7 linked regions of the Canis lupus familiaris genome follow. The protein of the gene in region 1 interacts with the protein of each later gene in a pairwise test. Links are inferred from orthologs where the notes say so. Each region holds a gene or a part of one and is shown in the gene's direction. Other genes may lie near its edges.

What was found.
Region 2: the proteins of NCK2 (region 1) and LRRIQ3 interact in binary tests that used the Homo sapiens proteins (3 or more experiments, as listed by UniProt). The two-hybrid records come from large-scale screens. The link is inferred for Canis lupus familiaris from reciprocal best matches to the Homo sapiens genes NCK2 and LRRIQ3.
Region 3: the proteins of NCK2 (region 1) and ABI3 interact in binary tests that used the Homo sapiens proteins (3 or more experiments, as listed by UniProt). The two-hybrid records come from large-scale screens. The link is inferred for Canis lupus familiaris from reciprocal best matches to the Homo sapiens genes NCK2 and ABI3.
Region 4: the proteins of NCK2 (region 1) and SF3B4 interact in binary tests that used the Homo sapiens proteins (3 or more experiments, as listed by UniProt). The two-hybrid records come from large-scale screens. The link is inferred for Canis lupus familiaris from reciprocal best matches to the Homo sapiens genes NCK2 and SF3B4.
Region 5: the proteins of NCK2 (region 1) and VARS2 interact in binary tests that used the Homo sapiens proteins (3 or more experiments, as listed by UniProt). The two-hybrid records come from large-scale screens. The link is inferred for Canis lupus familiaris from reciprocal best matches to the Homo sapiens genes NCK2 and VARS2.
Region 6: the proteins of NCK2 (region 1) and MEOX2 interact in binary tests that used the Homo sapiens proteins (3 or more experiments, as listed by UniProt). The two-hybrid records come from large-scale screens. The link is inferred for Canis lupus familiaris from reciprocal best matches to the Homo sapiens genes NCK2 and MEOX2.
Region 7: the proteins of NCK2 (region 1) and PIK3AP1 interact in binary tests that used the Homo sapiens proteins (3 or more experiments, as listed by UniProt). The two-hybrid records come from large-scale screens. The link is inferred for Canis lupus familiaris from reciprocal best matches to the Homo sapiens genes NCK2 and PIK3AP1.

What each region holds. Positions count from the first base shown.
Region 1 is NC_049231.1:38,637,029-38,640,528, reverse strand, and holds part of NCK2 (cytoplasmic protein NCK2), read left to right. Parts: intron 1-2,355; coding exon 2,356-2,550; 3' UTR 2,551-3,500. UniProt on the Homo sapiens protein: Adapter protein which associates with tyrosine-phosphorylated growth factor receptors or their cellular substrates. Maintains low levels of EIF2S1 phosphorylation by promoting its dephosphorylation by PP1.
Region 2 is NC_049227.1:72,837,958-72,841,139, forward strand, and holds the end of LRRIQ3 (leucine-rich repeat and IQ domain-containing protein 3), read left to right. Parts: intron 1-1,950; coding exon 1,951-2,074; 3' UTR 2,075-2,682; downstream 2,683-3,182.
Region 3 is NC_049230.1:25,325,778-25,329,731, forward strand, and holds the start of ABI3 (ABI gene family member 3), read left to right. Parts: upstream 1-1,154; 5' UTR 1,155-1,482; coding exon 1,483-1,599; intron 1,600-3,954. UniProt on the Homo sapiens protein: May inhibit tumor metastasis. In vitro, reduces cell motility.
Region 4 is NC_049238.1:59,867,874-59,872,021, reverse strand, and holds the start of SF3B4 (splicing factor 3B subunit 4), read left to right. Parts: upstream 1-1,348; 5' UTR 1,349-1,471; coding exon 1,472-1,505; intron 1,506-1,952; coding exon 1,953-2,081; intron 2,082-2,349; coding exon 2,350-2,892; intron 2,893-3,215; coding exon 3,216-3,422; intron 3,423-4,148. Other genes in the region: MTMR11 (myotubularin-related protein 11), read left to right, coding at 1-146. UniProt on the Homo sapiens protein: Component of the 17S U2 SnRNP complex of the spliceosome, a large ribonucleoprotein complex that removes introns from transcribed pre-mRNAs.
Region 5 is NC_049233.1:828,461-831,960, forward strand, and holds part of VARS2 (valine--tRNA ligase, mitochondrial), read left to right. Parts: intron 1-172; coding exon 173-243; intron 244-394; coding exon 395-520; intron 521-740; coding exon 741-845; intron 846-997; coding exon 998-1,066; intron 1,067-1,149; coding exon 1,150-1,270; intron 1,271-1,391; coding exon 1,392-1,519; intron 1,520-1,639; coding exon 1,640-1,792; intron 1,793-3,500. UniProt on the Homo sapiens protein: Catalyzes the attachment of valine to tRNA(Val) in a two-step reaction: valine is first activated by ATP to form Val-AMP and then transferred to the acceptor end of tRNA(Val).
Region 6 is NC_049235.1:30,321,203-30,324,702, reverse strand, and holds part of MEOX2 (homeobox protein MOX-2), read left to right. Parts: intron 1-502; coding exon 503-675; intron 676-3,500. UniProt on the Homo sapiens protein: Mesodermal transcription factor that plays a key role in somitogenesis and somitogenesis and limb muscle differentiation. Required during limb development for normal appendicular muscle formation and for the normal regulation of myogenic genes.
Region 7 is NC_049249.1:10,216,540-10,220,039, reverse strand, and holds part of PIK3AP1 (phosphoinositide 3-kinase adapter protein 1), read left to right. Parts: intron 1-732; coding exon 733-869; intron 870-3,500. UniProt on the Homo sapiens protein: Signaling adapter that contributes to B-cell development by linking B-cell receptor (BCR) signaling to the phosphoinositide 3-kinase (PI3K)-Akt signaling pathway.

The sequences.
Region 1 (3,500 bases):
CACATTTCCCTGTTCAGAAAGTCATCTTTTGATCATTTGGCTTAATTAAAATTGGGTATATCATGTACTTACCCTGACTCACATACTACCTCCACTATGATGCTTAATCTGTGAATTGATTAAAGTCTCTATAAAACTAGCACAGTGCCTGGCTTGTGCTAAACTAGAACAGTGAGATCAGATCGCCTTCTGTCTTTATCTAAAAGGCACAAGCTTCTAGCATAGAATTTATGTATTTATAAAATGTAATAGAAGCTTGAAACTAAACACTGTTTTAAGGAAAACCTGAAGCCCTCAGGAGAGAGTTGAATGTTCATAACTTCTATGTACGATTACACATGGTTGAGGTGTCCTCATGCACTAGGACCAGTAACTGTTGTGACAGCAACAGTGATGCCAGTGCTCTAGGCCTTGCTTCTGTGTGGAGGACCTGTCAAGCAGTACCTGTTTAACCTGGTTCTTTTTTCAGAGCCATACACAGCAACCAACTTGGATAATAATATGGAGGATCCCAAGGTTAGGTTATATCCATCTTGTTCAGTCCTGTGAAAACAGTCATGATTTGAGAATTGAGCAGTCACATGATTACTTAAAATTACCCAAAATGATGTTTTGTGCTGTTTAGAACATTATGTTATTAGGGCAGGTCATCTGTGACATTAGGGTTTGTGATGATGTGTTTCTGAGAAGTCTAGTGGAGGAAATAATTTTAAGTTCCATGTCCTCCTCCCCACCCCTTGACCCTCTTGTGGCCATGATTCTGAAAATCATATGTAGCCTGAGGTTGAATCAGAGATCAATCTTTCTGTGTCTCCCTGAAAGTTCATCCCACCAGCGCTTCCAGGGTCTCCTCCAGGGCATCAGGTCCTGGGGTTAGCATGGATATAAGATGGAGGCTTTTCCCTCAAAGATTTGGTTCTCTTTGGTCTGTTTGGGACAGAGGGATACATAAATACAAACTGAATACAGTTGTCTCTTAGTTGTCTCTTGATTCTTGCATGGCAGCAATGACTGGTGGGGATGAGCCCCACAGTGCTTTTACAGAGTTAAATGTCCTCAGATTCCCATTTCCCTGGGATGTCATTGGTTTTATGGAATTTTTACTTGTTTTATGAGATTTGCACACTTTGGATTAAATGTTTGTAAAGTCAGCCTATAGACAGTGGCTGAAATCCTTGTTAATTTTGTACCCATGGGCAGGACGCAAAGCTGGATGGGTCCTCAGCAGCAGGAAGTTGCTGGATGTTGAGAAGTGCTGAACCTGCTTTATGAATTCAGTTAAGAACTGTAGTGGGCTCCCACCATCTGTACGGCTGTCTGTGGAATATAGCAGTGGAGAGGATGTGGTCTGGCTGGCCTAATGCATAGTGAAGGGATAGGACATACGTGTAAAGTATTTTTACAGAGCAGTTACTAGACTACACTCTGCTCCTGCCACTGGAAGCTGTTAGCCTCATGCAATATGGCAAGCCAGGGAGGGGAAGAACTTATCTTGATTGAAAGAGAGGATGAGGTGGCTTCTTCAGGTGGAAAACCTTTCAGCTGAGCCTTGCAGGAATGGTCATCCAAGGTGAGGGGCAAGATGGTTCAAAGAACAACAGGAACAGGAGTGAGAATGGAACTGGAGGTGGGACACACTTTCTGTCTCATTGATTAGAACTGTCAGGCAGGGGCCTGGTGGCACACCCTGAAGAGCCACTGCGTGCGGTTGGCTTTTCTTCTGGAGCCACTGAGTGGGGCCAGCCTCCTTCCACTTCCGCATCAACTCTGCTGGCTCGTCAGTGCCTCAGAAGGAGCAGGACCAATTTTAATAAAAATAATGATATTAAAGTTTATTCAAATATAAGTAGGCATGGACGTAATCACAAATTCAAACACTACTCAACAGAATCTGTGCTTAAACCATGGTTCAGCTGCCCCCCCTGGGATATTTCAAACCATGCTTAACATGCAGCCAGAGTTTTCAACTGCTCTTAAAGTATTTATTTTTAAATAGCTTAGAGTTAGGAAATTTTTGATGGCTTCATTTCTAGTAGAACAAGGGAAATTTCTAGCTGCTGCCTATATGCAAATCACTTTTTTAAAACTACCAGTTGATCAGGAGTAGGTTGGGAAATTTAAAACTTTAAGTTTCTTCAGCATCAGGTTAACACCAGTATCCTACATGCCGTGGAGTCCCCAGTGTTCGAATAACTAAGATACATGGGGCACAGAAGCTGTCCTAAGCAAGAGGCAATTTTTCTTGGATGCAGGACACGCGGAGCCTGGGGCGGCCTCGGGCGAGTGTGCGCGTCCGTGCACTTCCCCGCGTGCCCTGCGCGGCCCTGCTGACTCGTGTTCTCTCTCCTTCCCCAGCCCAGTGACTTCTCCGTGTCTCTGAAAGCATCAGGGAAGAACAAACATTTCAAGGTGCAGCTCGTGGACAATGTCTACTGCATCGGGCAGCGGCGGTTTCACACCATGGACGAGTTGGTGGAACACTACAAAAAGGCGCCCATCTTCACCAGTGAGCACGGGGAGAAGCTCTACCTCGTCCGAGCGCTGCAGTGACGGCCCCGGCCCCTGCCGCCTGCGGGCCTCGGTGCCACACTCGCTCCCCGGAGCCGGAGCCGGAGCCGCGATCCGGGAGGAAGCCGCGCTCAGCTGGGCCCCGGGCCCTCCTGCAGCGGCCTCGCTGCCACCGACCGGCGCCTCGTCGGTCCTTGGCTTCCTTTGCCTCGTTGACCTGGGCGTCGGGGCGGTCTGTTTGCCGCGCGCCTCCCCTTTGCCAGGCCGGGCCCTGACACCCACTTTCCGGCCCGCCCCCCACTCCCGCCCGGGCTTAGAGAACGGCAGGTGGAAGAGGGGAGGTTGGTTCACTTCATTCCTGCTCCTCCGCTGAGAACAGCCTTAGCCTGTTCACATGGTTCGTGCAGACACAACCCCTCGTTAAAAAGGTTAAAAAGACATCGGGCACAGCTTGAACGCACTGCGGCTGCCGTGGTCAACTAAGAACTCCAGGACCGCTCGGAAAGCGGGGGCGGGAGCTCTGCAGAGGCCCCCGGCCCTGGGCCTGGCAGCCGCGCTCTGTGCCCTCTGCCCTCACCTGGCTCCCAGACTGTCCAGGGAGTGGACGCGCCTGCTGGTAGCAGCACCGGCACCACCAGATGAGAGAGTAGTGGGGAAAGTCCAGTGCCTTCGGGGCTATGCTTGCAATAAAAGGATTTCCTTGAAAGTCAGTCTGCAGAAGCGAGACCCGTGACTCAGAAAGACAGACGTTGTGGTCATTTACCCCCAGATGTGCCATCCGCATAGTGCTTTTTCCTCTCGCCCTTTGGCTTGTTTCAATTTCACAATTATGTATTTAATTCTCAAAGTAATATGTATCCGTAGCCATTTGTTGACACTAATACAGATGATTAAGGAAAACAGCTGATCTTTGGGGAAGGGGAGCTACCGTACACTTTACACACACACACGCAGCCACACCATATATATATATATATTATATTATACATATA
Region 2 (3,182 bases), on another chromosome or scaffold:
AGGCAGAATGGCTTTACTACCTTTTCTCTTAACCATAAGCCATTGCTTCTCTTTAGTCAACTCCCTGGGCATTACCACATGGACAGCCAGGCTCCTTAAAAACAATATTACTTAAAAAGATTTACAGTATTTCCCTTCATCTGGATGCTCTTCCTCTATTTTCTATCCTGATGAATACCACTATTATTCATCCAGTAAGCAGAATTATTAAATGTCAGGCATTATTCTAAGGATTTTAAATGTATTAACTCATTTAATCTTTTACTAAACCCCAGGAGTTGGATTATATCCCTATTAAAAATGAAGAAAATGATGTAAAAAGAGCTGAAATAACTTGTCCAAAATCACATAGTTAATAAATTGCAGACTTCTAAGATTTTGGCCTTTCTTCTGTTCCTCAAGTCCAGATTTCTGAGTATATGTGAATATAAATCAGGGGTTCTGTGCTCTGCTGTCAGTCTGTTTCTCCAGGGTTATCTGTTCTACTGTCCCAGAAATTAGAGTGTTGTCACTTTTCAGAGCATGCCAAGCCATGCTGTCATCTTTGCCTTTTGCCTTTATTTTAGCTGTTCATGCGATTTAAACAAACATACATAAACAAAATGTTCTTTCCCCTCCACTTTCTGCCTGAAAAATATGTATCTTTCAAGACTAAGTGCAAGGATTATTTCAAATCTGAAACCTTTCTTGCCTTTCCTTACCCTCTTCTTCAGGTGTTATTTACTAACTTTTTTTTATTATGCCCTTCTCATGTTGTTAGATAGTGTTTTCATTATGGCACTATAATATTTTATTTATATATTCATTATTTTTCTTTACTTTCTATAAGCCTCTCATAGTTATGCCATAATTATCTTCATGGTTCCAGCATCTAGGGCATTTTAATACATACCTGTTAAATGAATGCAGATGAATAATGATTGAAGTCTTATAAGGCCCATGACATTTTCTAGATTTGACAGGGTAACCTGGTTCACCTTTCTCTAATTTAAAGTTCATTTAGTGTGTGGGGGGTCCATAACACAATACCACAGATTGGGTGGTTTAAACAACATAAATTTATTTTCTTCTGATTTTGGAGGCTAGAAGTCCAAGATCAAGGTAAGTCAGATTTGGCTTCTCAGGTTTGGGGTTTTCCCTTGCTGCCTTCTCACTCTGTCCTCACACGGCCTTTATTCTGTGTGTTCATATCCTTAGTATCTCTTCATCTTCTTATAAGGACACCACTAACAATGGATTAGGGCCCATCTGTACAATATCATTGAAGCTTAATTACCTCTGAAAGACCCTATCTCCAAATATAGTAACATTCTAAGATACTGGAGTTTAGGACTTCAACATGAACTTGGGGGTTGGAGGTAGGCACACAGTTCAATCCGTAACAGAATCCTAGAAGAAACTTGAATTTTGTGAGACTTAAGTTCTGCAAATCTTTTTTTTTTTTTTTTTTAAGATTTTATTTATTTAAAAGAAAGGGAGAGAGAAAACAAGCTGGAGGAGGAACAGAGAGAGAGAAGCAGGCTCCCTGCTGAACAGGGAGACCCAGTGCAGGGCTGGATTCTAGGCCCTCTGGGATCATGAGCTGAGTCAATGGCAGGCACCTAACCAACTGAGCCACCCAAGGGTCCCCCAAAATTCTGAAACATTTTAGCATAGCCTAGCTTTGAGGCCTCTTTGGGACTCTCAAGCAGGGTTTATGAGAATTCTGTTACAGCCAATAGAAATCTTAGAAGTATTAGCCCAATTGGAATATCATTGAAAATATTATGGACATTATTGATATAATAAAATTTTTGCCATAGGTGGAATTCTAATTTTTTCTCAATTGTATGTCTGTTTTAAAAGCATCTATTTAACTAATGGTAATTGTTAAAACTATCTGAGTAATTGTTCCACTTTTAGTCATTTTAAAAGTATCTCACCCTATTACTTTCCTTTTTTTCTTTTTAGGGCTCAAGAAACATATAAAAAACACTGTGAAGAAAAATTTGTTACTGACATGATCGCCTTTCAAAAAGCTTGTGAACAATTTCAAGATGCTAAAACAAAAGTTGCAATTATGAAAAAGAATTAGTCTTTCAAGTTCCCTGAAGAGTGACAAAATGAACCAATGCCACGTTACATCCGTGGTCATTTTGAATTATGGCTAATACGCTTAGTTAAAGGACTTTGAAATAATACTATGAAAGAAGAAATACTCCATGTAACTGGATGGATTTGTATATAAAGCTTCTGAAATATAGAGAATAATTAAAGTGTTTCTTTTGTTGTTCATAACGTAAATCAAGTTAACTTGGCACCCCCAAAGGTTCCTTATATATCCAGATGTCCAAAGAACAATTAAAACTTATTTCATTTATTGCAGGAAATAATGCAAAGGCATTATTTATATTGTTTAATATCCCAAGGATGGCAATCCTAAAGCAATTTTCAGTTTCTCTGGCAATCTTAGTGTAGTAATATCTGCCCCAGCTGCTGACTTTTATTAAGACACTGTGTACTTTGATTAGTTTCATTGCCTACTTTCATGTATTTAATTATATTTCTGTTTATTTTGTTAAAACAATTTCTGAATTTCTTATTTCAAAATAAGAGTTTTAACATTATATCAGTGATTCATATTCTTATAAGAATTCAGAAAATGTGAAATATAAAAGAGAAATTAAATATTCCTTTTGACTTCCTTGGAGATTGTTAGATTTTCATATATTTACTATTGATGTATTTGCCTTTTGCATACATTTGAGGGAAGAGAGGAGAGACAGAAAGAAGACACACAATTGTATAATTGTTATTATAAAGTATACAGAAATAGTATATATATTGATTTTTTCTCTTTAATACATATTCATAGTTTAAAATTAGGAAAATAGAGATAAAAAAGATATAAAATTCCTTTGTAAAGTGTAAGTTTATTTTCAGTAGTCTTTTCATTTATCTAGAGAAATAAATGCCTATGATTATGACATGCTCACTTGATACAGTGTAACTAATGCCATTCAAAATCTTTAATACTCATAAGTTATATATGGGCTAGTTTTTAAGTGTTTTTAAAATTCTATGATTATTAGTCTGTGGCAAATTTTCAAAAAGTAAGTATTTTACAATAGCAATTATTCAGTTGTGCTTCTATGCTGGATCGCTAAAAGAATGCTTATAGTGTTTTCCTAATTTTGGTAAAA
Region 3 (3,954 bases), on another chromosome or scaffold:
CTTCTCTTCTAAGCCCTCCCCTCCGTTACCTCTGAGTCAGCTCTGAGATTGGCCTTCTCAGTGACTCAAGTCCTGGACCAGCTCCTAACTTCCCTCACCCAAGAAGCCATTGTGTCTCCCATCGGAGCCCCACGATTACACCGTGCAAGGTTCTCCTAAGCTCAGTCTTCCTTTGCTTACTCAATAAAAACGGACTCCTCACTTAGGATGCTGTGCCATCAACACGTGGGGCCATGGCCACCTCTAATGCCCATGTCCATGCTTCTTGGCTTCCATGCCTCCTTCTGAGCCTTGAGTGTGGGTCTCCCTCACCAGTTGCTGAGCACAGGGCCTGCATCCTGAAATTTCTCTTGGTCTCCTTCCAGGACCATCCAAGGGCTGTGCTGTTTAATAGATACTGAGCTCTTGCTCAGGCTGACACCTGTCCCATGACAAGGGGACCCTCTCGAGAAGCAAATGCTTAAGATAATCAATATGGTCAATAAAGGATCCTCTTTTTGTCTGGCTGAAAGGAGGCCTGGAGTCCATCCTGACTGCCTTGCTCTGGGGTCTGAGTCCCACTCACAGCCAGGAGTGCTAAGACTTTAGGATCAGGACAAGAGCCTGGAAGTCTCTAGGCCAACTGCCTATGAATACAGGACATAGAGCACATACCTTTTGAGAACAGCTTGGTGCTCCATGCACTGCTGCTTCCTAAAACCAACGAGTTAATCAGAAACTTGAATGTGGTGTTTCTCAAAGCCAATTCCTTCCTATTGTCTAATCGGAATCCCACATGCTACAGCTGGTCTTACCTCCATCAGGCACAGAGCTTGTAGACTAGGGCTTCTTTACATGGAACCCTTCAGAGGCTTGGTTACACTTCTCAGGGGACCTCTGGATGTCTTCCTGGTGTCTGAGCTGATTCCTCTTGCTGCTGAATTGGCTGGTTTCCATTGTTTCTGCGCCGCCCTACAGCCCCCAGCATGACTGGTCTCCACATCCTACCCACCTTCCACTCCCCAGGCCCTTGGTGACTCATCCCTGAGCTTCCCAAGGAAGCCCCCACCCTCTGCCCTTTCCTCCCCTTCCATGAGTGGAAAATCCACCCCCACCCCCCACCCAGAGCAGGCCAGTCCCCTTCCTCCTCTGTCTCCCCCCCCCAACCCCCCCCAACAGTTTCCTTTCCAGGCCCATGAGCAATCACAGCGCCCCGACCTTGGCTTCCTCTGCTGGGAGGGATTGGGGGGCTGGGCCCCCAGAGGCGCCCCTGGCTTCCCCCTTCCTCTGGGCCGGGGGCAGAGAGGCACAGGCCCTCGGGGCAGGGACTGACTTCCTCTTGTCCCGGAATGAGCCTGCCTGCCCTTTGCAAGCAGGTTTGGGTCTCTCACGGAGAGGAAACCAAAAGCAGTGAGGCGGGGGTAAGGCAGAGCGACCAATCAACGGCTGGGTGAGGCACAAAATCAGCGGGCTCCCTGGGGAGCCAGCCAGAGGCTGGGGGCCATGGCAGAGCTGCAGCAGCTACAGGAGTTCGAGATCCCCACGGGCCGGGAGGCTCTGCGGGGCAACCACAGCTCCCTGCTGCGGGTCGCGGACTACTGCGTGGACAATTATGTGCAGGTAGGCGGAGTGGGCACAGGCCCCGACACCCTTGCCTCCCACCACCGCCCCGAGAGGCCCAGAGCCCACCTCCAAGGCAGGACTGCGGGAGCCACCCTGACAGGTGCTCGGCCCGGGTGCGGATGGGAAATCCTCCACCCCAGGCCTCGGCTTCATTCTGTTCCCCTCAAACTTCAGCCCTGACCCCGTGCCACCCAGCCCTACCGTGCCCCACTGCCTCTCCTGGAGCCTCACACCTCTATCCCGTTAGCGCTCCTCACTCTATCTTTGTCTCCCTCCCAGGTCCTGCTCAGATCCAGACTTGTCCCCAAACAAATAGTGGCATCATTACTGCATCTGCAGGCCGACTCTAGGTGGGCCTTCTGAACTTCCTGGACAGTGTCATGAACTTGACAGGGGGAGATTCCTTTCCCTGATATTTGAGCGAGAGTGGACAGACATCAGACTAAGCTGGGTCAGGCACAGAGGCAGGGGGATGGACAACGTGACTGCTGGGAGCTGTCTACCAGCAAAAAGATGACAGCTGTGCTTTATTATTATTATTATTATTATTATTATTATTTAAAATATTTTATTTATTTATTTATTCATGAAGGACACACAGAGAGAGTCAGGGACATAGGCAGAGGGAGAAGCAGGCTCCCCGTGGGGAGCCCGACGGGGACTCGATTCCAGGACCCCAGGACCCCAGGACCACGACCCAAGCCAAAGGCAGATGTTTAAGGACTGAGCCACCCAGATGCCCCGACAACTGAGACTTTTTAGAACTTTCCTAAATTGTGTAGCGGTTTCAGGACCATGAACATAGATTCCCAGATCAAGGGAAGAGTGGGGAGGGAAACTCAACAACAATTGAGCACCTGTTTTTTTTGTTGTTGTTGTTTTTCCCATTAATCCTCGTAAGCACCTTATGAGACAAGTATTATTATTCCTCTTTCATAGATGAAGAACCAGCAGCGCAGGGAGGCAAGGTGACTGTCCAAGGTCACATGGCTTGGATGTAGCAAAGCTGAGCATCAGCCTCCTGACTTCCGAAGCCGGTTCTCTCCTCTCCTTCTCTTTACCTCTTGCCTGACATGCCGTATGACTTAAAGACAGTTTATTTGCACTGACAGGCCCCGGGGGACCTCCTGGCTCAGTAAGAGTGTTGAAAAAAAAAAAAAAATGAAAGTAGCAAGTGCTTATGGGAAAATGGCAGATTAAAGGGAGTCAGTGATGAGACCAGTGAGAACACTCTGCACCCTTCCTTTGGGCAGGCTTGTTGCCCACATGGCCTCTTTTAGTCCTCCCCCAAGCCAGAGAGGGGAGAAGCACTCCCATTCCACAGCAGGAGGCCGGGGTTCAGAAAGATTGACTCACTTTCCCAAGGTCCCTAAGCTAGTGGCAGTCTGAATTTGAACCCAGAACTCTGACTCAAGAGCCCACCCCCAAACCTCTAGTTGAATAGTTGCTGTTGGTGTAGATGCTGAATGACCGACCAGCTTACAGATGAGATGGACTATGGCTTGTAAACCAGCCCGGTTCTCGTGGTGCTGGAAGGTAGCCTTCTACAGACAAGGAGAGAAGCAGTTCTGTCCATTTCTTGGGTAAACTCTGCACAGCTCCAGGCTCTTCCAGATGGGTTCTCCTTTGTTGCATACACAGTGTGTGCACACAGGATTTAGGATTACAAAGACCCAGTCCAATTTCCATCTCTGCCACCAACCAACTACAGGACCCATGGCAAGCTGACTCTCTGATTCTTACACCTCTCTCTTTACCATGGTCACGTGGGTTAAATGTGAAAATGTGTTAAAGCACTTAGCCCAGTGCCTGTCACTTAGGAAGGGCAGGATACATGGAAACTATGACCATTACTATCATCATCATCATTTGTCGGAAGGATGAAAGATAATGAAAGTCAATTCTAGTGAGGTGAAGCTGCCCTTGCAAAATCACCAAAAGCCCTGCCCCAGGTCAGAGTCCCCGGGCTCCTGCTTCCTTCATGCAGAACACTAATTAATTGACCTTAGTTACCTTTCCTGGCCTCTCAGGGGAGGATCTCAGTCTGGGGAGCAAATGCTTTCAAAGGGTTTGGATGACTTCTCAGAACTACCGTTAAAGAAGGCCTGGTTCCCACGCCCCCTGTCCTTCCCTCAGCCCCTCCCTTCACCCCAGTCAGGTGCAGGAAGCCCATGGGGAATGGGGGGAGGCAGGCTGGGGTTGACTTCAGAGTTCTCTCTGTCAGAGTCCATTGAGTTTACAGACAAGGTAATCTGCATGATGAATAAGCAGACAGCTATGACAATGGATCTCATATTTTTGTACCTCTGGACCTAACTTTGGGCCAAGCCCCAAACCAGGGGTCAGTAGGTA
Region 4 (4,148 bases), on another chromosome or scaffold:
AAGGCCTCTCAGCTCCCACAATCTCTGGCCTCCAGGATGAGCTATCCCATCTTCAGGAGCTTTTAAGGAAATGGACACCAAGAGTATCTCCTGAGGATCACTCCAAGAAAAGAGATCCAAATACCATTCTTTCCCAGTCCCGTTGAAATTGTTGTCTTTTTTATGGGCATGGCAGAGGGGGTCCGGGGTGAGGGAAGGTTCTGTCTAATCCTCCAATTTTTCTTATCTTGGTCTTGCTGTCTCAGCTTTTGACACTCCAGCCCTCAACAAGCTCACTGACCTTTCTGTTGCAGATGGGTGGTGCTAACCTTCTCCAACTCTTGCCCTGTCCTGTTTCATTCTCGAGATATGTTTCTCATGATTTGAGGAATTAAGAAACAAAAGCAATCCAGAATACGATTACCTTTGTTCTTTTCAGGGCAATTCCATCCCTCTGGATACCCAGCCGATAAGCTGTGAGATGAGAGATGCTGTTCATCAGTTCAAAGGAGATGGCCTACAGAACTCATTCTCACCTCCTCTTGCTGCTTAATTCCAATTTCTGTTTCTTCCCTCTGGTTTTCTATGGGTATGCTAGTGGGTATGGGACACATCCTGTCTCTCCCAATTGTATATTTTGTAGTGACATTTCTATTTAACGAGTTCATTAAAGTACAGTTGCTGGCATTATCTCTGGTGTCTGAATAAAAGATCCTAAGTAAAAAAGCGATGATAAACCGGGAGAAGAAGGGACCCACCATATTATTGTTCAGGAAATATGGAGATAGGTCAGGCTGTCCACACTAATCGTTTCGTAAGATGGGGCAAAGAGCATGCAAAGACATGGTTGGTGGGCCCGGGGTATTCTGGCGGTTGAAACTGAGGCCCCTGGGCTGCAATGTCAGGTACCCTCAGCTCTGGGCACACATCATCTCTGAGCCTCAGGTTTCCATCTCCCCCATGCAACAGGATCATGTGAGCTCCGACGCCACTCCAGCTCAGACACTCCGCAATCCTCTCCCCAGAAGCCGCGGGCCACGGTGGAGGGCTGCCTCCGCACCCTAAGGCAGCCGAATCCTTGGGTTGGAGGGTTTCCTCAGCACACCCTTCTCCGGGGAACAAAAGGATAGTTTGCCAACAAAATATTTCTAAATAAAGTTTTGTTCTTTTAGCTTTTGAGTTTACATTTTTAGGAGTACTGTGATCCTTTAACGTCCAGCACTGCCTTAAGAGGGTCTGGGCATTTCCGTTCGGCCCTCATCGCTTTGACCGCTAGCAGCGGCAAATCCGCGCAGAACCACGGACCGGAGAACGCGGCCCCACAAGCCGCATCAAGTCTCCGCAACTCCTAAGATGGCCGGGGCCTCTTCCGGCTCCTCCCCCATCAGGCCCCGCCCACCGCCCTCGTGACTACCTTCGCCCCGGAAGTGGAAGTACTGACTGAGGTCAGAGGGCGGGATCGCTGCCTGGAGACGGCGGGAGCTCTTTCGCCATGGCGGCCGGCCCGATCTCCGAGCGGAACCAGGGTAGTTGGAGGGGATGAGGCCAGGGAGGCTGGGAGGCCTCGAGGAAGGCCAGCCGTGTTTTCGCCGGGGCAGGAGATCGGATCCCCCCGGAGGGCGCGAACCCGGCCCCCGTGCCGGCTGGGGGTGGGGTGGCCGGGTGCAGGCTGAGGCCTGTGGTTGTGATGCTCTGTCCAATCTCCTGCGCCTTCCCATTCAAAAAAACAAAACAAAACAAAAACCCAAACGAAAACCAAAAACAAAGCAATTCACAGAGAATTTGCAGCAGAACCTTCAGTTAGACTTAAGAAGGTTCTTTAGTTCTGGAATGAGAGAGATGTAAGGGCTTACTCTCACGTCTTTTTCCTTTTTTGTTCCTATATCCCATCTCCACTCCCAGTTCCCCCGCCTGTCACTTCCTTCTTTCCCGTCGTTGTCTCATCCCTGCCATAATCTGCTCATTTCTCTTAGATGCCACTGTCTACGTCGGGGGACTGGATGAGAAGGTTAGCGAACCCCTGCTGTGGGAGCTTTTTCTCCAGGCAGGGCCAGTAGTCAACACCCACATGCCAAAGGATAGAGTCACAGGTCAGCACCAAGGTGAGTACATCACAAGAGGCGTGTTTATGCATTGAGGGGACAAGCTGCTCCTGGAGGGTTCCGGCAGTATTCATAGGCAGTATTCATAGCCGTTTTGGAATCACCTGTAGATTCTTCCTTTTAAGTGTCATTCAATGTTTGCTTCTGGAACCATTCCCAGTTGAAGTGAGGTGGTTATTTCATGTTCTTTGTGCTTTGGAAGGTGCATGAGTTACACACGAAATTGAATCACTTCACTTAAGTTAATCTCTGCTTTTCTACTTCCCAGGCTATGGCTTTGTGGAATTCCTGAGTGAGGAAGATGCTGACTATGCCATTAAGATCATGAACATGATCAAACTATATGGGAAGCCAATACGAGTGAACAAGGCATCGGCTCACAACAAGAACCTGGACGTGGGGGCCAACATTTTCATTGGCAATCTGGACCCAGAAATTGATGAGAAGCTGCTTTATGATACTTTCAGCGCCTTCGGGGTCATCTTACAAACCCCTAAGATTATGCGGGACCCTGATACAGGCAACTCCAAAGGTTATGCCTTTATTAATTTTGCTTCATTTGACGCTTCGGATGCAGCTATTGAGGCCATGAATGGGCAGTATCTCTGTAATCGCCCCATTACTGTGTCCTATGCCTTCAAGAAGGACTCGAAAGGGGAGCGCCACGGCTCAGCAGCTGAACGACTTCTAGCAGCCCAGAACCCACTCTCCCAGGCTGACCGCCCTCATCAGCTGTTTGCAGATGCACCCCCTCCGCCTTCAGCCCCCAATCCTGTCGTATCATCATTGGGGTCTGGGCTCCCGCCACCAGGTAAAGCTTTTATTCAAAGTATTTTTGTCTTGGGCTTGGGGTGTGGTGGTGAGCGGGGGCAAGGGGAGGAGAAAAGAACTTGATAAAGGGGGACATGGAGTCAGTAGGTGATGAGAAAGAGAGTGAGGGGTGACAGTTGTGGGGAGAAAGTTGTTGAGTTGAAGAGGCTGAAGTTGTTCCTAGTTATCTAGTATTGCTTCTGATTTTAGAGAGCTGGGAGGAAGGGAAGAGAACTTATCCTGCCTGAGGAGGCCAGATTGAACGGGCTTTCTAAAGACATTCTCTCCTTACTATCGTTAACTTGTCTTTCATTTCCTCTATAGGCATGCCTCCTCCTGGGTCCTTCCCACCCCCGGTGCCGCCTCCTGGAGCCCTTCCACCCGGGATACCCCCAGCCATGCCCCCGCCACCTATGCCTCCCGGTGCTGGAGGACACGGTCCACCATCAGCAGGAACCCCAGGGGCTGGACATCCTGGACATGGACACTCGCATCCTCACCCATTCCCACCAAGTGGGATGCCCCATCCAGGTGAGTGTTCTTTGCTGGGGAAAAGGATAGATAAGCTTGTTGGAGGAGCTCCACTGCCACATGCAGTGCTGCCCTCATCCCTCAGCAGTAATAGTAGATAGTCCCGGAGCTCTGCTTTTTTTTCAGACATTCTTTTATAAAAACAAACACGAGACACTGTTCTCTGTTTACTTTAACAGCTACCACCCTGTCTCCATTTATTATACAAGTTTTTCCAAAGAGTGTAACTGTACTCGTTTGCTTTTTCCTTTAACTTTTACTTCATTTTTCTCCTCCGACTTCTACCCCAAAGCAGTGACCTAATTGCCAAATAGAGGGGGCACTTCCATTCTTTACCTGGTTTGCCATTTGGTGTACTTGAAACTGGGTGTGTTGTCCTTTTTGAAAAGCTTGCCTCTTGGTGTTTCTGGATTTTTCATCTGTCTCAGACTCCTTAAAGTTAGCCACATTAGGGATCCCTGGGTGGCGCAGCGGTTTGGCGCCTGTCTTTGGCCCAGGGCGCGATCCTGGAGACCCGGGATCGAATCCCACATCGGGCTCCCGGTGCATGGAGCCTGCTTCTCCCTCTGCCTGTGTCTCTGCCTCTCTCTCTCTGTGTGACTATCGTAAATTAAAAAAAAAAAAAAAAAAAAAGTTAGCCACATTAGTAGGCTTTTCTCCCTCTCCATGTAGCTGGGTTTTTGTATCTGGTTCTCTTTTCTTTTTTTTTTTTTAATTTTTATTTAT
Region 5 (3,500 bases), on another chromosome or scaffold:
AGTTGGGCCTCAGGGGGAGCAGACTCTGGGGTGGAGGAGGTGAGGTCAGGGAGGTTGGGAATGGGGTTAGGGCCTGACCGTGGTCTTTCTGCCTGGAGTTGGGCTGGAAAGGTGCACAGCAGTACGCTCGACGTTCCAGTTAACTGTCTCCATTCCCCACTCTGTTTCCCAGATCCTGATGTCCTGGACACATGGTTCTCTTCGGCTCTTTTCCCCTTTGCTGCCTTGGGCTGGCCCCAAGAGGTGAGGCGGGTTGAGAGGAAGAGGGTGAAGATGGGGATGATGAAGGAGATGAAGGAGGCAGTAGCGCCCCCCTACCCCCACCCCTGCAGTGAGCCTCAAGAGCTGCAGGTATAGGGCTTAGGCTTCTCACTGCTTCTCTTTTTCCTCCTAGACCCCAGACCTTGCTCGTTTCTACCCCCTGTCACTTTTGGAAACAGGCAGTGATCTCCTGTTGTTCTGGGTGGGCCGCATGGTCATGTTGGGGACACAGCTCACAGGGCAGCTCCCCTTCACCAAGGTAATGGCCCTTAGGTGCCTAGCCCATCTTTGACTCCCCAGTTTTCCCTAAATCTTGGTCTCTGTTCGAACCCCTAATGTGCTATTGTCTGTGGTCCCAATTCCTTTTTCCTGATTCATTTCCTGTCCTAACCCCTGACACATGGAGGCCAGAGAGCCCCTGGGCACCTCCTAGGATAGGCTCCCCTAACCCCTCTACCAACTCCCTCTGTGCCCCCCAGGTGCTTCTTCATTCCATGGTTCGGGACGGGCAGGGCCGGAAGATGAGCAAGTCCCTGGGGAATGTATTGGACCCACGAGACATCATCAGTGGGGTGGAACTGCAGGTCAGGATGAAGAGTCTGGCGAAGGATGGGGTTTGTGGGGCAGAAGAAGGGAGCCTGAGCAGAGGAGCCGGCTGGGAGGGAGAGTGAGCGGGTAGGACCCTTGAAGGGGCAGGGTCTTTGACCGAGGCCACTGAAGTGCTTACCCATCCCAGGTGCTGCAGGAAAAGCTGAAGGACGGGAACTTGGACTCCACAGAGCTGGCGATTGCGGCTGCGGCACAGGTGAGTCCCCAGCATCTGCCTCTCTCAGCCTCAAGCTGGCGGCTGCTGGGTTTCCTTTGCAGCCCAGGCTTCTGTCCCTGCAGCTGTGTAGGCATCTGCCACCCCTCTTATCCCTCTGGTTGCAGAGGAAGGACTTCCCTCATGGGATCCCTGAGTGTGGGACAGATGCCCTGCGATTTGCCCTGTGCTCCCACAGGGCCTTGGGTAAGCCTGGGCAAGGGAGGGGCTGGCATTGTAGGCACCCCTGTAGAGGGGTGGGGCAGGGTCAAGGGCTCCCTGTGCTCCTGCCACCGATGTGCACACTCCTCCTCCCACTCCCTACCAGGGGGCGATGTACACTTGTCCGTCTCTGAGGTCTTGAGTTCCCGGCATTTCTGCAACAAAATCTGGAATGCCCTGCGTTTTATCCTCAATGCCTTAGGAGAGGGATTTGTACCGCAGCCTGCAGAGGAGGTAAGAGAATAAGAAAAGAGGCTTGGGAGGCAGAATCATTAGTTCTCTGAGGGTTGAAGATGACATTTGGAGGAGGAGGAGGAGGAGTGATCCTGTCCTGAAGCCGTCTTCCCCCCGCAGCTATCCCCCTCATCCCCCACGGACGCCTGGATCCTGAGCCGTCTGGCCCACACTGCCCAGGAGTGTGAGCGAGCCTTCCTTGCTCGGGAGCTGCCACTCATCACCCATGCCCTCCACCACTTCTGGCTCCACAGCCTCTGTGATGTCTACTTGGTGAGTTAGACTGGAATATGGCATTCCACTCCTGCATGCCTGCCTCCTCTTCCCCTTGAGATTGGATTTTCTGGCAGAGAGTTCAGTCTCTTTTTGTTTTAAATGTTAAATAGCATTACAGAATCATTATTTTTTTTAAAGATTTTTTATTTATTTATTTGAGAGAGACATGTGCAAGGGGAGGGGCAGAGGGAGAGGGGGCAGCATGCTCCTGAGCAGGGATCCCATGTGAGGCTCCATCCCAGGACCCTGGGATCATGACCTGAGTTACCCAGGAGCCGCTCTTTTTTTTTTTTTTTAAGACACATTTATTCAGCGTCATGATCAGACTATTACATTTAGCAATCAACAGCATGGGTGCGAAAAAAGAAAACTACATTAAAACTCTTTACACTTTAGAACAGAAACTAAGATAATGTGTTATGCAATTAGTCACAAATACGATCCTCAAGTTTTTTGCCCATACCCACAAGTATGTCTAAAACGTGTCTTCTTTGTAGCAACCAGGCCCTGCCACTGCTGTGCTCGGCTGAGTTCACAAATGTGCTGTAAACTGTAGCTCCCTGTCACTTCTCTGGCTCTCCTCCCTTGCTAAGCTTTGTTTCCTGGCAGTAATTAAAACCTTCTACCACTGCCATAGCTGTTGCTGCTGGAACAGGCATAGATAGCCACCTTGGTTTCGTGGTTTGGCAAAGTATTGGCCTCCACCACCATAAGGGCCAGAGCTTCTGCCTCCAAAATTTCCTCCTTTCATGGGTCCAAAATTTGAGGATTGATTGTTGTAATTGCCAAAATCATTATAGCTTCTGCCACCTCCGAAGTTGCTTCTGTCATTACCAAATCCGTTATAGCCATTCCCACTGCCACCGTATCCACCACCACCTCGACTGCCACCGAAGCCACTGAAGTTCCCTCCACGACCAAAGTTGTCATTCCTACCAAAACCACCTTCACGGCCACCACTGAAGTTTCCAGAACCACTTCGGCCTCTTTGGCTGGATGAAGCACTAGCCATCTCTTGCTTCGATAGGGCTTTCCTTCACAGTTGTGGCCATTCACAATATGGTGTTTTTGAGTGACAGTCTTGTGTACAGAGTCATGATTATCCAATGTCACAAAAGCAAAACCTCTGTTGTTGCCACTGCCTCGGTCAGTCATGATCTCAATCACTTCAATTTTCCCATACTGTTTAAAATAATCTTAGATGATGTTCTTCAGTGTCTTCTCTACTGCCACCAATAGAAATCTTTTTCACAGTTACGTGGGCACCAGGTCTTTGAGAATCTCTTGAGACAGCCCTCTTTGGTTCCACAACTCTTCCATCCACCTTGTGTGGCCTTGCATTCATGGCTGCATCCACCTCCTCCAGGGTGGCATATGTGACAAACCGAAAGCCTCTGGAGCACTGGTGTTTGGATCTCTCATTACCACACAGTCCGTAATCGTTCCCCATTGCTCAGAATGGCTCCTCAGACTCTCATCGGTTGTTTCAAAGCTCAAACCTCTGATGAAGAGCTTCTGCAGCTGCTCAGGCTCTTTGGGAGACTCTGACTTAGACATGATGGTGGTGGGAGGGGAGACTAACGATGCTTACTCAGCGGCGTCCGGGGGCGGAAAGGACTCTGTCTCTTTTTAATAGGCAAAAAATTCAGTGCTTTTTTTTCTTTCTAAAGTATACAAACCAGTTTTATTCCCTCTTCCCACCTCT
Region 6 (3,500 bases), on another chromosome or scaffold:
ACACACACTTTTATGTATGCTTTGTCTGACCTTGAACTGACTTTTATGGTCCAGTTGCTAAACATTCAAATTGCTTAAATATTCACATATTAAGTCAACACTTTTTTTCTTAGGAATTAAAGAGTTCAATCATACCTAGATCCCAAGTATACATATTAAACAACTTATTAAACGCAATTTTACATCCGAAATTGTTTTCTAGAGGTGGTTTATTTATTTATCTTTTTATCATATTAAGAGCAAATACATTTTTTGTTCATATTTTGAAAGAATATTAGACACTTTGCCAATTAGGCTGAGTCACAGGAGAGCAGATCGAAAAAGTAAGAAATGTATCTTATCCTGTTGTGAGATCAGTCTTCTGTCTTTGCTCTCTGTTTCTCCATATCTAACATAGTACCTGAAAAAGTAGTTATTCAGTAAATGCTTCTGGTATGAATGATATGATTGTATGCATTTGAATGAATAAAGTCAATTTAATTCTCTCTTACATTCCCCCCAGATTCCCAGGAAGGAAATTACAAGTCAGAAGTCAATAGCAAACCCAGGAAGGAAAGGACAGCTTTTACCAAAGAGCAAATCAGAGAACTTGAAGCAGAATTTGCCCATCATAATTATCTGACCAGACTGAGGCGATATGAGATAGCAGTGAATCTGGATCTCACTGAAAGACAGGTAAAGTTGGACATTGTTGTGATATGGTATTTTTAATTGTGTTGAGTCAACAATCTTCTCTCGCCATTTTTGAAATATCTAGATCTGTGGTTCTTAAATGCCATTTGTAAGATAGGTGTTCTGTTCCATGATGAAGTTTTGGCACGGCAAAATGGCAAAATTAAGGATAAGATAGCAGTGTTTTTAAGGAAAACTACATTTATTCAGTTTAAGGTATCATTCTTTATTCTGTATTTGTGTCCTTCCTATATATTTTGGTTTAAAATAGTATTTCTTGTATATAATGATGGCATATAGTGAGCAATTCTTTTTTGCTTATATTTTAAAATCTCCTTATTTTGGTATAATAGAAAGCCAGCAACCCCATATTAGTTTCCTCTATTGCTCAGGACAGGGTTTGCTATGTTGCTGTAACACATTAACCCCCGGACCTCCATGACATAACAAAAAAGTTCACTATTTGCTCACTCTCCATACTAACTTTACAAGTTCAGCATTATAAACAATCAGTCACTCACGGACCCAGGCTGACTCTCTGGCATCTCAACATGTGGTGTCCTTGGTAACCACAGGAGGTAAGAAAGAGGTGGAGGTTCATGCACTGACCTTTAAATGTTTTCACCCGGAAATGACCCATGTCACTTCCATTTATACTCCAAGGTCCGGAAATCATCCGTGGTGCCACTTAAGTTCAAGGGGGGCTGGGAAATGATGGGAGCAAGGGCCCATAGGTCTTTCGTAAATATTTCCCAAATATTTTTGAACTGATATTGGTCTCAAAAATTTAAATTTCTGACATTGACTCATTTAGAGAACACTTTGCAATTATGAACGATCTGTGGACTCCAGTTGATAAAACCTAAAAGGTCCTTTCTTGGATTTTACTTGCTCCAGTAGTGCTCCCAGTGCATTCTTTTTATGGATTCTGATTTGCCCTGGGAGAATCTAGCTTACTGATGGTTAACAGTTGCTAATCTTTAGGAAAACATTCCTGAAAGGCAAATCCAAACATCTTTATGGACAGTGCAGTTATGATTGGCACTCCTAGGACTAGAGTCTCATTTCCTTTCACTGTATGCACCTCCTCCAGGGATCCCATCAGAACCAAAGAAATACCAACAGGGTGTGGACGTATGAATACTATCTTAGGAGAGCAAGTTATTTTATCCAGTTTCTTAAATCATCTGCTTTCCTTCTGTTAATTTCTGGATTTCAGCTTTTGTAGGGTATTTCTGGGGATTGGGAATATAGAGAGAGACACTTTTATGTGGTTTTATTTATTGGCAGTTTATATTTTATTAAATATTATGACTAGTGCCTAAGTTGTGAAGCACAACATTTTCTTTCCCTTGAACTTCACAGACAAACTCCTCTCCATAAGTGTACAACATTTGGCATGCTGGAAAGGAGAATCCAAAATCTACATTATTGGACATCTGTTTTATTTTCATTTTTTTTAAACTGGGAGCAGATAAAAAAAGAAGGGAGGGAAAGAATTACATATTTTAATGTTCTTATCCATAGACAGTGAATTCTAGGAAATGCAACCATGTTTTCTATGGTACAAAAAGGAAACAAGCTAAGACTTGTTTCCAAGCTATAGAAATAATGGGATGCAGTACTATACTCTTAGCCAAGAGGGAATGTGAAGATTCTGTGCTTGCTATTCTGGGGATGGCTTTGGTTACCTGTGATTATCTGATTATAAAGCAGAAGTTTCCCTTATGGTTTAAAATAATTTCTTTTAGAAAAGCAATTCTATAAATTTGGTCTGGCAATTTTTTAGGTATTTTGGATATGTCTTCCTGAGTTGTCATTTATGGAAAAGGATGATATGTAATTTTAAGCAAAATACACACACATACAATTCTAATCTTTGTTTTTGTTTATCAAAGGTCCCTTTTCAATTTTGTTATCAGTTAGCCTTGACTATGTAACAAACATTCAAAAATCATAGTGGTTTCAACTAATAACCGACATTCAATTTGCTCACAGTTTTGTGGGTCGGGGATTTTGACTGGGCTCAGTTGGATGGTTAAGCTGCTTACCTTACCTAAATCTCCCATAGAGCTGTAGTCACGTGGCGGGTTTGGGTTTGAAGAGCTGGTTGGTTTAAATAGTCTCAGCTGGGACATTTGTCTCTGTTGTATGTGGTTTCATTTTCTTCTAATAGGCTCTCTGAGACTTTTCAAATGGGGATAGAAGCATTGTCAGGAATAGAAGAAAAACTCCAATGGACCAAGGCTTTCAAGGACTCTCGTTATCTCATATTTACTGATGACTCATTGTCTAAAGCAAGTCATATGACCAAGCACAGTGTCAATGTAGAAGGAGACCATTTAAGGAATGGATATATGGAAGGAAGGTGACATTTGCTGGAGGCCGTTACCGAAATGATCTAACTATAGTGTCATAGGGGAAAAAACAAACAAACAAATCTTGAGATATAATTGGATTTTGAAAGAATTGAAATTTTATATCGTGAAGATTTTTTTATCCTATAAATCTTTATTTCCAGTTTTTCAGATTAATATGAAAAGGAGATGCATACATGTGGAATCTAAATTCCTAGTCAAAGTTAAGTCTTCAGAGGGCCACTATGTGACAGTGAGAAAAATTGAATTATTATGATAAAAATTTGAATAGAACAACTAGATTTTCCATTGGAATTTGGATTCTTAGGCAAGTAACAATCTCCCTAAGTCACAAAATGGAAATTAAAGCTAACTTCTCTTGCTTCTACTCAGGTTTATGTGTTATAATGAATATGAAAGAATTTCTAGCATAAACTGAAAAACACAACTGTCAATCAGAGGAAGGAAAAC
Region 7 (3,500 bases), on another chromosome or scaffold:
CAGAATCTTGCACAGGGTATCAATTGATGGGCCCTAGTTAAGAGCCTCTGCCTTAGAGGTCTGGTAGGTTCTACTTACACCATCTCAGCATCATCTCATTCCATGCCATGCCCCACACATTTGCACACTCCTCCTCACCTGCTCTGAGCCTGTGCACAGTATAGGTATTAGCTATGGTACCAATCTGTGACCTAGTTATATTGATCCAAGATTTGTGGGAAATGATTGCTTTTCATTGTTGTTCCAGAGTGTTTCCATTGGATAGCCATGACCCTGAGGATTAATGGCTTCCTGGACAGCACAGGTCTTACTTGGTGTTCAAAAGATGACCATTAAGTGGACAGCCCATGCTTGACCCCACCTGAGGAGAGGGGGCCTCCTTTCCTCGCAGCCACCAAAGCCAGCAGTGCAGGAAGTCTGGAGGCAAATCTTCCAGAAATCTACTGGTTAAGAGTAGACTTCCCAGCCTTGGGCAACATCCTGTCTCAGACTTTTTGTTCTTCTTCTCCACAGTCCTCTTGTTGGCATCCTACCCTTGCTGCCTACCGGGTAATTGACTTTTTCCCGGCAGGTCGTCTTTCATGATTTCCTGAGTCACTCTCTTCAGCTTCTATTTATTTGACATTCAGAGCCATTTCCTATTTGGTAATGTTTGGGGCTTTCATGGGGTGGAACATGCCCATCAGTTCTCCTTCCTTGTGTTTTTATTCAGTGATGTCCTTTGTCCCATAGATTCTGGCTGTGACTCAGTCACTGACACAGAGACCGAGGACGAGAAGGCCCCTTCCTGCTTGAAGCAGCAGAGCCTGCCACTGCAGACTTCACCTGGGAACCTGATGGTGGTGCAGCCAGACCGCATTCGCTGTGGGGTAGGCACTCCTGGGGCTGGTGGATCAGTGTCAGAACACGGCCTTTTCAATGGATGCATTTGTTGCAGTAAAGGGGTGTAATCTCAGCCTTCCCTTGGGGATTTCATTGTCGATTAGCTGCTCTGGGAATCCCAGTACCTGAGCCTTGAGCACACCTCACTCCTTTAGGTAAGAGAGAAGCGAGCTCAGGAAAGTATGTGTCATCCATTTAAGACTTCATCTTTGTTTTTTATTTTTTTATTTTTTATTTTTATTTTTTTAAATTTATTTATGATAGTCATATAGAGGGAGAGAGAGAGGCAGAGACATAGGCAGAGGGAGAAGCAGGCTCCATGCACCTGGAGCCTGACGTGGGACCCAATCCCGGGTCTCCAGGATCGCGCCCTGGGCCAAAGGCAGGCGCCAAACCGCTGCACCACCCAGGAATCCCCATCTTTGTTTTTTAAAGATTATTAATTTATTTATGAGAGAGAGAGAGAAAGAGAGAGAGTAGAGTGAGTGAGAACACGGGTAGGGTAGGAGGGGCAGATGGAGAGGGAAAAGCAGACCTCTTACTGAGTGGAGAGCCCAACATGGGGCTTGATTCCAGGACCCTGAGATTATGACCTGAGCTTAAGGCATATGCTTAACCAACTGAGCCACCCAGGTGCCCCCTATCTAAGATTTTAAGTTCATAGATCAGAAACAGAGCATGTGGCAAACATGAGCATTACCAACCCTGGAGGTAGAGGCCTGGGTCTGTTCCTGCCAGCCTAGTGCTGAGAGGAAGTAGATAGAGGGGCATTTTGAGAGCTTGCTTCTCCATCAGTTGACCACTGCTGTACCTCAAATGAATGCCTTGAAGTTTGCTGGCTGAAACTCACCAATATTGGTTGTTAATTTTAGATAATTTTAAATATTTTTTTTTTAATTTTTATTTATTTATGATAGTCACAGAGAGAGAAAGAGAGGCAGAGACACAGGCAGAGAGAAGCAGGCTCCATGCACCAGGAGCCCGACGTGGGAATCGATCCCGGGTCTCCAGGATCGCGCCCTGGGCCAAAGGCAGGCGCCAAACCGCTGCGCCACCCAGGGATCCCAATTTTAGATAATTTTAAAGTTAAAAGCCAAAGCATAATGTGACTAACATTTTCAGGATGAGACCTATGTTAACAGGTGACTTGAATGTGATGGCCCAATTGATGGGCCACCATCATTTAAATCCTACCATAGAATTGGTAGATTTTCATTATCTTTCCTTTCCTGATGAAAAAAAATGTGTGATATTAGTTCAGAACAGCAAAACCCTTCCCTGTGGATACAAGCCCTATGCTGTTTGCCCCTATGGTGTCTGTGAGACAAGGGGTATGGGAGCCTTGGCAATGGGAAGTACTAGTACCTTGCACCTGTGCGTGGTTTCACATGCAGCCTGAGGCCACAAGGCATTGGGCAAGGACTCCCTCCATGGGGATTGCAGACAGCTGCTTTGGGATAGATCGAGCTCATAGATATGGTTGGTTTAGATTGTACAGTGTTTTAAAAATTAGGCATGAAAATCTATTCCCATCTTCGTTTTTGTTTTTGTTTTTTTTAAAGATTGTGTTTATTTATTCATGAGAGACACAGACACAGACACACACACACACACACACACACACAGAGGCAGAGACACAGGCAGAGGGAGAAGTAGGCTCCATGCAGGGAGCCTGATGTGGGACTTGATCCCAGGACTCCAGGATCATGCCCTGGGCTGAAGGCAGGCACTAAGCCGCTGAACCACCCAGGGGTCCCATCCCAGTTTCCCTTGAATCAGAATCTGATAATACCAGGCCTGAGGTGAGTGGCTGGGCCTAGCAACCCATTAGATGGGACATGAATTCCCTAGTTCATTGCTCCCATCACTCCCTGTTCTTATTTTCAGCCCACTTCATGCCCTCTCTTCATTGGTTAGGCCTTTGTGGGCATTTTAGTTTCCAGTCTCTCCATATGCCTTCCTGTCTTCCCCACATTCCTCTCATCCTAAGACCAGACTGGTGGGCACCGGTGGGTAGGGGCATTTGGAAACGAAGAATAGTACTCTAAACATTGCCTTTCTGATTCTCCAGACTTTCATTCTTTCTCCTGTCCTGGCTTCCAGATTCTCCCTGTGGCCTTCTCTAGGTCTCTGGATCCTGGGGCAGCCAGACTGGGGTTGGGTCCTATTGTCAATAGAGAGGACACATTCATTCTCTCTGACTCCCCATGCTGCCTGTGAGAAGGAGCAGGTGCGACAGGCCCGGGCCTGCAGCCGGAGTCAGGTCAGCCAAATACACATTCACATTTAACATCTTCCTCACCTGTTGTGAAATGGTGGCCCTTGTCGTGAAGGCCTACTATGAGGTCTTTATAAAAGAATTATAGGATGAACATTTGGGGATTAGCACTGACCAGAAGGGCTGCTCTTTGGACAACCTGTCATTACCTGTTCAAGTCTTAAGAGGCTCATCTTCTACTTAACCAGCACAATAAAATAAGATAATTGTATGTGGCAGACCTGGCAAAAAATCTTAAAGCCAGGTGAAATAGCTATTCAGATTATTCATGCCTGGGCAAAATCAGTCCTCCAATAAGGTATTTTGCCCATTCTAAAACAGCATGGGAAGCAGAACCCGA